3 linked regions of the Cricetulus griseus genome follow. The protein of the gene in region 3 interacts with the protein of the main gene of each other region in a pairwise test. Links are inferred from orthologs where the notes say so. Each region holds a gene or a part of one and is shown on either strand. Other genes may lie near its edges.

Evidence for each region.
Region 1: the proteins of Tcl1a (region 3) and Ttc33 interact in binary tests that used the Homo sapiens proteins (3 or more experiments, as listed by UniProt). The two-hybrid records come from large-scale screens. The link is inferred for Cricetulus griseus from reciprocal best matches to the Homo sapiens genes TCL1A and TTC33.
Region 2: the proteins of Tcl1a (region 3) and Lsm3 interact in binary tests that used the Homo sapiens proteins (3 or more experiments, as listed by UniProt). The two-hybrid records come from large-scale screens. The link is inferred for Cricetulus griseus from reciprocal best matches to the Homo sapiens genes TCL1A and LSM3.

The regions. Positions count from the first base shown.
Region 1 is NC_048595.1:339,164,144-339,168,300, reverse strand, and holds the start of Ttc33 (tetratricopeptide repeat protein 33), read right to left. Parts: upstream 2,803-4,157; 5' UTR 2,641-2,802; intron 2,407-2,640; exon of another isoform or gene 2,388-2,406; intron 1-2,387.
Region 2 is NC_048601.1:52,288,969-52,292,954, reverse strand, and holds the start of Lsm3 (U6 snRNA-associated Sm-like protein LSm3), read left to right. Parts: upstream 1-1,182; 5' UTR 1,183-1,311; coding exon 1,312-1,332; intron 1,333-3,828; coding exon 3,829-3,939; intron 3,940-3,986. Other genes in the region: Xpc (DNA repair protein complementing XP-C cells), read right to left, coding at 953-1,046. UniProt on the Homo sapiens protein: Plays a role in pre-mRNA splicing as component of the U4/U6-U5 tri-snRNP complex that is involved in spliceosome assembly, and as component of the precatalytic spliceosome (spliceosome B complex).
Region 3 is NC_048598.1:189,486,339-189,490,446, reverse strand, and holds the start of Tcl1a (T-cell leukemia/lymphoma protein 1A), read right to left. Parts: upstream 2,812-4,108; coding exon 2,692-2,811; intron 1-2,691. UniProt on the Homo sapiens protein: Enhances the phosphorylation and activation of AKT1, AKT2 and AKT3. Promotes nuclear translocation of AKT1. Enhances cell proliferation, stabilizes mitochondrial membrane potential and promotes cell survival.

The sequences.
Region 1 (4,157 bases), on a different chromosome or scaffold from region 3:
ATCTGGTGTGAGGGAGGAACTATGAGCAAAGTATTTCTTATGAAATTATGATACCTAGGAATTATTTCAAAGTCATCAATGGTGAGAAATGCCATGGAGTGGGTAAAGTAAGATCACTCTGAATTGGTAACTGGTAAAGTTGAAAGATAAGCATAGAAGATTCACTGTTGCCCCCCCCCAATATATATCGAAGTTTTCCTTAATTTCTTTTAGGCTTTGAGCACTGTTTGTTTTGATTTTGAAACAGGAATCACTATAGAATACAGCTGTCCTAGAACTCAGACTGGACTCAAACTCATGATCTTCCTAGATCAGCTCTCCATGTGCTAAAAATACAAATGTGTGCCACTACACCTGGCTATAGAACAGTTTCCAAAGATTTAAACATGAATTGACTCAACAGAGCTACTGAGTAAGTAAAAAAAAAAAAAAAAATTGTTTTGAATGGCTTTGTAAATCTACCGTGATATTCAAATGTTAAGGAAAAGAAAGGGTAGCTGATAGAATAAAAGTGAATACTGGATGTTTTCAACAGTACTTAGTGATAACTAATAAATCCAGTAATTCACTAGCTACACAGATGGGCTTTAAGATACAGGAAAATCCAAGCAGGCATGGTGCCCTATGTCTTTAATCCCAGCACTGGGGGTTGGGGGGGGGGCAGAGGCAGGCAGATCTCTGAGTTCGAGACCAGCCTGGTCTGCAATAGCTAGTTCCAGAACAGCCTCCAAAGCCACAGAGAAACCCTGTCTCGAAAAACAAAAACAAAACAAAACAAAAAGATAAATAAACATAATGTTTTTAATTGTGTATAACTATCTTGTCCATTGTGTGTCTTACATGCTGTATAATTCAGGTGTGTATAAGAGTGTATCTATTCTTAGAGTAATTGTAACCCTAAGGAGACAAGGAAAAAACCAATGAACTCAGGTCTTTTTGAAATTACCAAACAATAGGCATTAAGAAAGGGAGGAAGGAAGACAACAGTAAGTTTCTAGCAATATTCATTACTGATGCCCATGACTGAAGTGAAATGTAAGTAACAACAGGAAGAGAAAAAAATTGAGGGTGGCTAAGTTCTGATCAGAATTGAGAATATCATGGGTCACAGCCTGTTACTGAACAAGAAACACTGCAACCACCAAGCACGTAGGCTGATGCAGGTAAACCGCATGCTTTCCACAGAGCAGTGAATTGTGGGAAATCCTGGGTATATTATGGAGTATAAAATGCACTAGGGAATTAGGACAATGGAAGCTTCCTCCTTGGCCTCATTGTAATATGGGGAAATGTATTTCCTCTGTCTGAAAAATCACTTTATATCTCCCAGGGGGAGACCAGGAAATGGGAAAGAAAGAAAGAAAGAAAGAAAGAAAGAAAGAAAGAAAGAAAGAAAGAAAGGAAGAAAGGAAGAAAGGAAGAAAGAAAGAAAAAAGTAAGTATGGTTACTATGGATCACAAATCCATAGGGACACAGTGAAGACAGCCTGGGAAAATGGATGCTTGGAATGTCTTCAAAGGATACTGAGATATAAAAGGAGTGGTGGTGATGGTGGTGATGCTCTTGTATTTATGACTGTCCCTAAAGGTAATGAGAATGATGATTGTGTTTTCTGTTCTCAAATTCCCAAATGGAACTTAGTTTCTACATTACCAGTGTGGGGCACCACGCAGTGTAATAGATGTATTAATATTTAAAGAAAGCTGGTGTGTTTACTGAAAGTAATTTCACTTTAAATCACTGGTCAAATCTGTTAGGAGAAATTAGGAATGGGATGAGAATGAAAAGAATGAGACCCTCATATATATATACATAGATAGATAGATAGATAGATAGATAGATAGCAATAAGGGCTACTGAGTCATGCAATCTATATGAGGGAATTGTATAACATGCCAGTTACATCTATCTCGACTAAACTGTTTTCATCTTAAACTACGAGCTTTTTGGACCCCTAAGGTTGTGTTTACACAAACCCCCTTACAGAAGGGGTTTTTGGTAGATCTGGCCTTGGACAGTTTTCACCAGGATAAGAAACCAAACAAGTACATCACAACTGTGCAGGTTTCGTGTTAATTCGTGCCTGGTGTTAACGTCAACATATTCTACAGAACTGACGAGCGGGATTAAAATTCTAAACAATGACACCTGTGTTCTAAGTTGATTTACAATGCTCCCCCACAGCAATCGCAAGACTTGACACTTGACCCAGCCAGCCACAAGCTGGCAGGTGCTTGCGACGGAGTAAACGTCCTCTTCTACTGACTGCGTGAGAGGCTGCAGCACCGGGATGGAAAAACACCGGCTGGACGTAAAGAATCACGACGGCATCCCTCCGAGCAGGAGAGACGTATTCGAAGGTGAAGAATTAAGAGTCACGACTGACCTCAAAATGCTACCAAAGGAGAATCCATCTCCCCTTCCTAGGCCGACAATAAAAACGAGCTGACCGCCACACTCCTCAGGCCGCCGGGCCCGCATACCGAGCCCCGCCACCGTGCCTCGCGCCCGGGACAGCGGCGAACCTGCGGGCTCCGTGGACCTCACCGGGCCACCCTCGCCCCCCAATCCCGCACGCAGAACCCTCTGGCCTTGCTTGCCTCTCCTCTGCCTTCTACCGCCCACCCGCAGCCAGTTACCTGAAAGCCACTCCGTGGTCCCGTGTTTACATTCCACTTGCCCTTTGCCACAGGAAGCGGAAATGATCCCGTCGGGCTCCTAACTGGCCTTGCCTGTCTGTGCTTTTTATTTCTCTATTGAAAACTCATGAAGTCATCCGGGGACGTTCCAACAGTCCAAAAAAGTGGATAGAAAAAAAAAAAAGAAAGAAAGAAAAAGAGGGCTTTCTTATCCGCCAGACCCTTCTACGAGGCCATTGGTCCCAGAAGTCACTGCGGCGCCCAAGGTACTATGGGATTTGTAGTAGGGCTATCAGCCCGAAACAACGCCCTCTAGCAGCAGCTGGGAGTGGCGGACTCCGGATAGGAGGCTCAAATCCAGGCAGCTGTGCTTTGCCATAAGCACAGTCATCAGGTAAAAGGGATTACAGCCTAACCTAGCCGGTGAGGGAAAGTAAAACGCAGGAAAAAAAAAAAAAAAAAAGGAAAAAACTGAGCTGAAAATAAGTTCAAGGGGACCTGTGCTAATTTATGTTTGTCAACTTGGCATGAAAGACCCCTGCCCCTTAGCCCTTTCTTTCTCAAGTTTGTCTCCTCTTCCTCCTGTCGGCGGCTTCCACTTCCCCCGCCACCCGCCGCACGCCCAGCCCGAGGGTGAGCACCAGGTGGGCCGGCACGAGAACAAACACCAAGTGAGCCGGCCTGGAGCCCTGCCCCTGAGCCCCCGCCCGATGAGAAACACTCTGTCCCAAGGTCTCCGCCCCCAAGGTCAGCCATCTGGACGCGGAGGGAGGGGGAATGAAAGACCCCCAAAGAGGTACTTTCGTAGAAGGGGACCCGCACCCAGGAATCAGCGAGACCACGAGCTTGGATGCAAAACCGCAAGAGGCTTTATTGGAGATACGGGTACCCCAAGGGAAAGGGGTCCTTATATAGGGAAAAAGGCGCAAGCTAGGGGCAGGGATTCTATTGGATAATTCTAATGAGGCATTGTACAGAGCTATTCCCATTGGTCAATGTATATGAGGCGCTATACAGGGTTATTCAAATGAGGCAAAGTACAGAGTTATTCAAATGAGGTGAAACATAGAGTCTTTCAAATGAGGCGAAATACAGAATCATTTCTATTGGATGGTTCAAATGAGACACAGAGCCATTCCAGATCAGCATATTCTCAAGGTCTGGTGTCTGGTACAACAGACTCAATTCCCCCTCCCTCCGCGTCCAGATGGCTCGGATACCCGTATCTCCAATAAAGCCTCTTGCGGTTTTGCATCCAAGCTCGTGGTCTCGCTGATTCCTGGGTGCGGGTCTCCTTCTACGAAAGTACCTCTTCGGGGGTCTTTCAGGCACAAACCTAAACATAGCTAAAAGAGGGAATCTTCTTTCTTGAGAAAATGCCTCCATAAGATTGGCGTCTAGGTAAATCGGGGTATTGTCATGAGTAAGGACTGATGTGGGAGGGCCCAACCCATTATAAGTGGTACCACCTCTGGGCAAGTGGGTTCCGGTCGGCATTAGGAGGTAAACGGAGCAAG
Region 2 (3,986 bases), on a different chromosome or scaffold from region 3:
GATAGGTGAATAGGAACATCACTGTGATTCTGTGGTGGAGGATACCTAGGAATGACTACTTTAAGATGACCGTGGAATGTCTTAGACCTCAAGTAGAGAAGAAATTAGACCCAGCAACAGCGACGGAGAACATTCTAAGGCAAAGAAACATGGAAGGCCAAGCCTCCAGATAAATAAACAGTATATTCAAAGAAGAGAAAGGCAGTCACCAAGAGCCATCTGTAATCCCTGTGATCATGAGGATGAGACAGGAAAAACCCAGAGCTCTAGGCCGGGCTGCTGTTTAAAATAAGAATATCTGGAAGAGAGACATGCTAAGTGAGGTAGATGCTATACACGGAGAGCACACATCTAAGAAGGTTTTAAGTAAGAAGACCAAGGCATATGAAGTTTTGTTGTCGTTCTACATCACTTGGCTGCTGGATGGAGATCTGATGTAGAGGGGAACTCACTCAACTAGAAAACGACAGGAACAGGATACCAGCTATGAAATTAAGAGAATTAGGCACATATTTCAGTGACTCCGAAGCTGAACTGGACCTCCTGACGAACTAGCAGTTAAGAAAAGGCGTGTTTTAACAGGTGGGTGAAGGAGTGATTTATTGAGATGGGAATATTTTAAGCTTCTCCTTGGTTCAAGACCAAGGTAAGAAGCGCATCGCAAACCTGGGGCCGGAATTACAGTGGATGCAACTTGGAGAGAGATTCTCACACTACAAGGTCTCCCTCTGTCCTAGTTTTGGTGTCTCTCTGACACCGGGCAACAGGGAAGCTTTTTCCTGATCGGCCCTCAACACTTGCCAAGAGGCTGGACTTGGTCCTAGGGGTTACGGTGGGGTCAGGGCTGATGGTAGAGGCCCTCGGGGCGCCGCGCATCCGGCCGTGGAGACCTTCCGCCCCGCTGCCCGCCCCAGCCTCCGCCACCATCGCCTTGCGCGCCGCAGCCTCTCACCCGCCTCGCTCTCCTCCGGCCGGGCTGCTTTGTTGTTCTCGGCTTCTCGGCCGCGCCCCCGCCGCCTTCCTCCCGCAGGGCGCTTCGGAGCCATGCTGCCCGGCAGCGACACTCCGGGCTACCGCAGCCAGCCGGCCGCAGACACTCTCCGCGTGCTCGCCCCGCCCCGAGGCGGGCCATGCCTGGGCCGCGCCCCCTGACCAGGTTGGGACCACGCCCTCCGGAGAAACCCCTCCCCCTGCAAACTACAGGGGCGCAAAGGGACAAAAATAAAGTAGGTCTACTTCCCGAGAGTGGAACCCTTTGCGTTTCTGAGTGCCTGTTCTCGCGAGAGGTGGAAAGGGCGCAGCGTTTGAAACATGGCGGACGACGTAGATCAGGTAAGTTTGTCCGGAGGCGCTCTTAGAGGAAGCGCTTGCGCTTCCAGGTCGGGTTCGCGTTTTCCACGCTCGCTGAGAAGCGGCCCGTCTCTCTTTGTCCCGAGGAACCACGGCCTTCCGTAGCCGCGCCGGCTCCTGAAACTTCCGCAGGCCTAGAGTTTTCTCAACCCGCCTATCTGCCCATCACGCTCGGCATCGGCTTTTATCTGTAAAATGCAAACGGCTGTCGACACCAGACAGAAAGCGTGAGGTAGTGGTGGACACCAGCTTTGTAATACGTGCAAGCGCCTGGTGCGCAGGCAGCGGCTCACTTGGAGTGCAGTAGGAGGGAGGGAGGGAGGTAGAGAACCTGGTGGAGATGTAGTCTGGAGAAAGCAAGCCAAGATCGGGTGCACACAGGATCACAGGCTGCCCTCTTCACCTGCTCTTCCCCCTATTCCTTAGCTACCTGTGGAGTTCCGAAATGATTGCACTCCCTCACACGCACACGCACCCACACACGGGTATTTAAAATAACAGAGCATGTTATTTTAAATATGTATTTCTTTATCTGAGACATTTCTTCCATAACTAGAACGTAAGTTACTTAATAGGGGCATTGGGGCGGGGGTGGCTGGAGAGGTTGCTTTAGGAGTTAAGAGCACTTGTTGCTTTTGTAGAAGACCATGGTTGGGATCCAGCACCCACATGTTGGCTTAACAGCACCCCAACGCATCTTAACTCCAGTTGCAGGAGGGGATCCTCTGCCCCCTTCTGGCCTCTGCTACCGAGCACTGTGTCAGCGTGTGGTGCACATGCATACAGGCAAACTGCTCACATACACGATAAAAGTAAACCTTTAAAATAAAGGGGGGTTTTCTGTGTTTGCTTTTCTTTCCTAGGTTTAGGACAGTGCTGTTAGCACTCAGCAGGTTATTAGTTGAGGGAACGAACCCAATGTTCAGGGGCAGCTTCTTTGAAAAGGCAGAATGTAAAGCTTACAGGGTGAAAAGGATTGACAGTGGCCATCCTAGACTGAAGAGGGCTGTCGTGGGAACAGATTTCATTGTTTTGCAGCTATGTATTTATATGCCCCTCTCCATACTAGAGTGAGCTCCATTGAGGGGATGCGGCTTCTGTATTGTTGTAATCCAGTGGTTGGTTGTCTGATTTCTTAACAAAAGCCTGCTGAGCTAAGGTGGGAGGAGGAAAGCACCAGTTGAGATCCGGGGTTGGGGGTGTTCTGGGAGGGTTGTTTGTTTCCTGTCATCAGCCTCATATCTACACAGCCTACAATTTTCAGCTTTCACTGACCCCAGGTACTCACTGGAGAAGCTTGCTGAATGGTCTTACTAATTCTTGATGGCTGGAACCACCTCTTTCATATAGCTGAATCCAGGTCATCCCAGTTCTAACCTTTGAAACCTGTTCCAACAGTTCTTGAAGAGTAATTCTGATTTATCATTCCTCTGAAATGACTGACCAAGAATGCATTCTTAAATCTTGAAGCAAGCAAGAGATTATATTAAATATAAGAAATTACAGGTGCTGGGAGTGGGGCTGGTAAGATAACAGGTAAAAATGCTTGCAGTTTGTAAGCGTGACAACCTGAGTTCAATTCCTGGGACACACAGAGGAAGGAGAGAACTTTATAAAGTTGTCTTCTGACAGCTACTTGAACCCCATCACACACACACACACACACACACACACACACACACACACACACACACACTCTTAAAAGTTCCAGACTCGGTTCATACCTGCCCAATCCCAGCATCTGAGAGGCAAAGACTTGCTGCTCATCAAAGGCTGTCATGGGCATGCCTCTTAAAAAAAAAAAAAAAGGTAATTATTTAGAAGTGTTTCCTTTTTACTTCAGATAGACCCTTTAGTCCTTATAAGATCTCTGAGGCAAAGATGTGGTCTCCCCAGTTTGCAAATGAGGAGTCTGAAACAAGAAATGGCATGATTTTTAATCCCAGTTCAGAAGAGCCAGGTCAGAACCCAGAATTGAACAAAGGCTTCCTAATGACTCAGTTCTTTTAACTTCTATACTATACTACTCGGTAGGTAGGTTCATCTTGCCAGCCAATTAGCACCCTAAACTTAACCTGCGCTGTACTGACTTCAAATTCTGTCAGATCTTTTTAGTAGTGTGTGAATAGGTATTGCAGGTATGTTTTTCAAATGATTGAATTATACAAAAGATAAAGCTAAGGTTCCTAAGTGGTACTCTAACACTTTGGATTTTTTGGAAGTTCAGTCATCATTTTGCTACTTAACTCCTCTCCACATAATGTTTTTCTCCTCTTTTACATAGCATCGAGGCACCGTTCTAAGCTTTCATATGTCATTTAAAATAATAGTATTGGGGAGACACTATTTTCTGCATTTGGCAAATTAGACTAAGGTATAAACGGGTTATGTGACTAGCCCTTGGTTTCACTGCTTAACAGTGATTGAAACACCACTCTGCCTCTGGTGGTCCATTACTAAGTGTGTTTCCTTCATCAGCAACAGACTACCAATACCGTAGAGGAGCCCCTGGATCTCATCAGGCTCAGTTTGGATGAGCGAATTTATGTGAAGATGAGAAACGACCGAGAGCTTCGAGGCAGATTACATGTAAGTCTTTTAAATTATCTCAAAACCAGATGTTTCCCTATCATCCC
Region 3 (4,108 bases):
CAACTATTTCTACACTTACTGTCTTTACACACCAGGGTGGGGATCCAAAAGTCAGACCAGCCTGATGGAGTCCTGGTGCCTTCTCACGGGCAGAGTGAGCCCAGGGTCCATAGAAGTCCACAAAGCACACACAGAGCATCTCTGCCTCCCTCTTCCCCCACTGTTCCTGTTGCCACTTCCTTCTAGGCACAATGCCTTGGGGGGGGTTCTCACTGTCTACAGTAAGCCTCCCCAAAATCTACAGAGAAGTAACTCCCTTTGAGGCAGTCCTTTGTTCAAATGTATGTCTATAAAGAACAAATATTGCACAAACCGATGTTAGTGTGGAGACCAGACATCCAGTTTTATTAATTGAAATGAGGTCACATGTGTGGTTTTGAAGCGTGGTCTCACCCTATCACCCTGGCTGGCCTGGGACTTGCTATATAGACCAGACTGGCCTCACACTTACAGAGATCTATCTACCTGCCTCTGCCTCTGCCTCCCAGGTGCTAAAATTAATGCACCACCACTTGCAGGAGTCAGCTCTCTTCCATCATGGGGGTCCTGCCACACCTCAGGCCATCAGTTTGGGTAACAAGCACCTTTTTACCTTTTCAGCCATCTCACCAGCTCCTAACAATGAGTTTTATCCACTAATTCAAGACGAAAAACCCAAATCAACCCCCCCCCCAAAAAAAAATCACCACCTAAACACACAAACAAAACCCTGCACAATCAAACTCTATAAGATACTCCCAGTGAAGATCTAATGGGGCCAAGTTGCACAGGCCTGCAATGGACTACTCAGTAAGTTCAGGCAAGAGGATCACAAGTTCAAGGCTACAAAGGCAACTCAAAGTCAACCTAAGTAACTAAGACCAAGTTTCAAAGTTAAAGTTAAAAAAAAAAAAGTTAAAGTTAAGAGCATTGTACAAATGGCTGGGCTATAGCCCTGCAGTACAGCTCTAATCTAAGTTACACAGGGTCCCAGGTTTCCTCCTCAGCACTACTCAGGTTGGAGGATGGAGTGGAGGAGTGGAGGGGTGGAGTGGGGGGCAGGGTGGGGCAGGAAAAACAAATGCAATTTGACACTCCAAACAAAATGACTCAAAAATATGACATGCAAATACAAACCAACTTCACAACTCTCTACAGAACAACTCACTGTCTCCCTTCCCACCTCCAGTTTCTTTCTCCCACAGGACTCCCCACCAGCCTTGTTATCCTTTTGTTGGCCACCCAAGTCACATTGCACCACCTTCCCAATAATAGGGCTTCGACCGCATTCACTGTAACCCATTGGTGCAGACCTGTGCTTGGTGAAAATAGTTTTGTGAAATGTTCTGCCTATGAGATAAATCAGAACTGGTAACTCGGATCACAGTGCCAGTTGTGTAAGCATGCTAGCATTCAGGACTGTTAGCCAACATTCTAAAGTCTAACCACTGTTATAGATAGCTTTCCCTTGTCTCTGTCAGTCCTGAGAAGTAAATTCTGTACTGTAGTTTGTCACAAGACTCCTGTTCAGACAACATCTACCACAGCTCTGAAATGCTCTCTGGTTCATGGTTTTGGGGGTGTAAAACATAACTTGCAGTGGTGGCGAACACCTTTAATCCCATAACTTGGGAGGCTGAGGCAGGCAGATCTCTGTGAGTTTGAGATCAGCCTGGTCTACAAAGCAGAGTTCTAGGACAGCCAGGACTGTCACACTGAGAAACCCTGTCTCGAAAAAAAAAGAAAGAAAGAAAGAAAGAAAGAAAGAAAGAAAGAAAGAAAGAAAGAGAGAAAAGAAATTTGTACAACTTCAAAATAAAAACATCCACCTACGCCAGGCATTAGTGGCACACGTCTTTAGTCCCAGCACTCAGGAAGCAGAGGCAGGTGGATCTACAGAGTTCAAGGCCAGCCTGGTCTACAGAGCAAGTTCCAGGACAGCCTCCAAAATAATACAGAGAAACCCAGTCTCAAAAAAAAAAAAAAAAAAAAAAAAAAAAAAAAAAAAAATCCACCTACACTGTCTTCACACATCGACTTTAACCTTAAAAAAAGACTAGATATATGTAAATTTAATATTGTAAAACAACAGCAAGAATTTAAGAGCCCAGAATTGCAGAATCATGGTTGCACCATCTAGTAGCGGCACCCCAATGTGAGGTTGACAAGCCGCTGGCTTTCCCAAGTGAAGACAGTCCCTAGTCCCCAACTACTCTCTAGTTTATCAAACGATGTCTCCACAGTTTTAATTCTGCTTTTATAGCCTTCATTGATTTTACAAGAGGAGGGCATGTCAATAATTTCTGCCTGAAAGTACTTCTAGAAGAGATTTCTTTTGAAAACACCAACATTCATTAAGACCCATCCGGAGGCTTCCAGAAGCGAAACAAAGTTAAATCTTATTACTAACATGGATACTACTAGATGCCTTAAAGATATTCCAGTTTTATGGTTTAGGAAAGCCCTGTTTCACCCCAAATGATAGTCATACCCCAGGCTAGGTATGAGAGGGCCTTATCCCTTGTCCTCAGGGTGTTCCCACCCTCCTCTCCAGGTCTACCAGGCCCAACCCAAAGACTTTCATCTGCAGCGTCCCTAGCTGTTTCTGCCACAAGGGACCCTCTGTTCCCTGGTCTCCAGCTACCAGGACTCCTAGGCCCAGACAGGGCACACCCCTGCTGCCCCATCTGCTGGCCCCAAGGCGGTTGGTACCTTGAGGACTATGGGCAGCCAGCTTCGTTTATTCTCATCCAAGTACACGTGCCTCTCCCAGATCCACAGGCGTTGGGGGTCTTGGGGTGTCTCTGGTCTGTACACCGGCTGTTCAGCCATGGCATCCGGCTGGAGCAAGAAGCAAAGATTTGCAAAGGCAATATCTGATAAAAACTACTCTCTGGTGGTGGGCAACGAGAACCTAGACTATTTATTACCACCAGGTGTGCGCCTGCGCCCCCTGGAGCGAGGCGAGGTGGGGCGGGGCAGGGCGGAGCCAGCGGAGTGGGTGGGGCGAACCACAAGTTTGGTAGGCAAGGCAACCAGGGGGCTTCTGGGTCTCTGGCTTGCAGGCCTGATCTTCAGGGCCCCAGTTAGTCCTGGACTCCTCCGGGTACACCGGGCAGCAGCAAAGGTACACCCAGGTCCTGTCTTAGGAGACACTGCCCTCCGCTTTCTCTATGGTGGAATCCCAAGGTCCAAGGCAGTTACTGTGTATGTGGCTGCACAGGCCACACCCCATAGCAGGCCACCCAGGGCAAGGTCAGTCTTCACTTCTGGCATCAGAGACCTGAGAGAGCATGGCTCACTTCTGGACCCTCCGGGCCTCTCTCTGTCACCTTCAGCCTGTCCTTTGGGGTGTCAGAGGCAATTTCCTTTGCAAAGTTCAGTTCGTGTGCCTTCGCTCTTTCCCACGTGACTTTTTCCATGGCTCTGATGAGGCTGTGGTCTTCTAATAGGTCTTGCAAAACAGACTTTTGAAAACAGGGGTTTCTGTCTTTGTGCTCCGACTTAGTGGACACATCATTCCAGACCCATGCTTAAAAAGAAACCCTTCCTGCACACCAAGAGTAATGGATTTGGAAAGTCTCTGGGTTGCTCAATCAAAACTGTCTCATTGTAAATAAATGAGGAAAAACGACTTCCCTTTAGTTTACGGTAACATGTGCCCATTAAGGCAATTAAGAAATTAATGAAAAACATGTAAAAACAAGTTCCAGGCCCGTTGCTCAAACAACCCTTTAGCTAGCAGCTCTGAGCCTCACCTTCTAGCCCTTTCCTCTCGGAGGATGCACAGAGGAAACCATTGGTGGTCTTTGGAAGGTCAATGAGTGATCAAGTGTGGACATCGGATCAAATCCCCCAGGTATGCCAAGAAGGCCTGCGGTCAGCCAGGTATATTCCGATTAAACAGGAAAAGAAACCAAGAAAAGGCTCAAGTCCCCCAGACCAGTGCAACTCTTAATGGTGTTAGCATTTAGTATTCAGACTGCTGGCTTTCAGGCTGATTTCCCTGTGGATGGCTCTTTATCCCCAGATCCAAATAGCTGCATAGAAATAGGAATAAGCTTGGTGGGGAAGCTCCCGGTGAGTGCAGATAATGAGCCTAGTGTAGTTATTTATTTTAATTCACTAT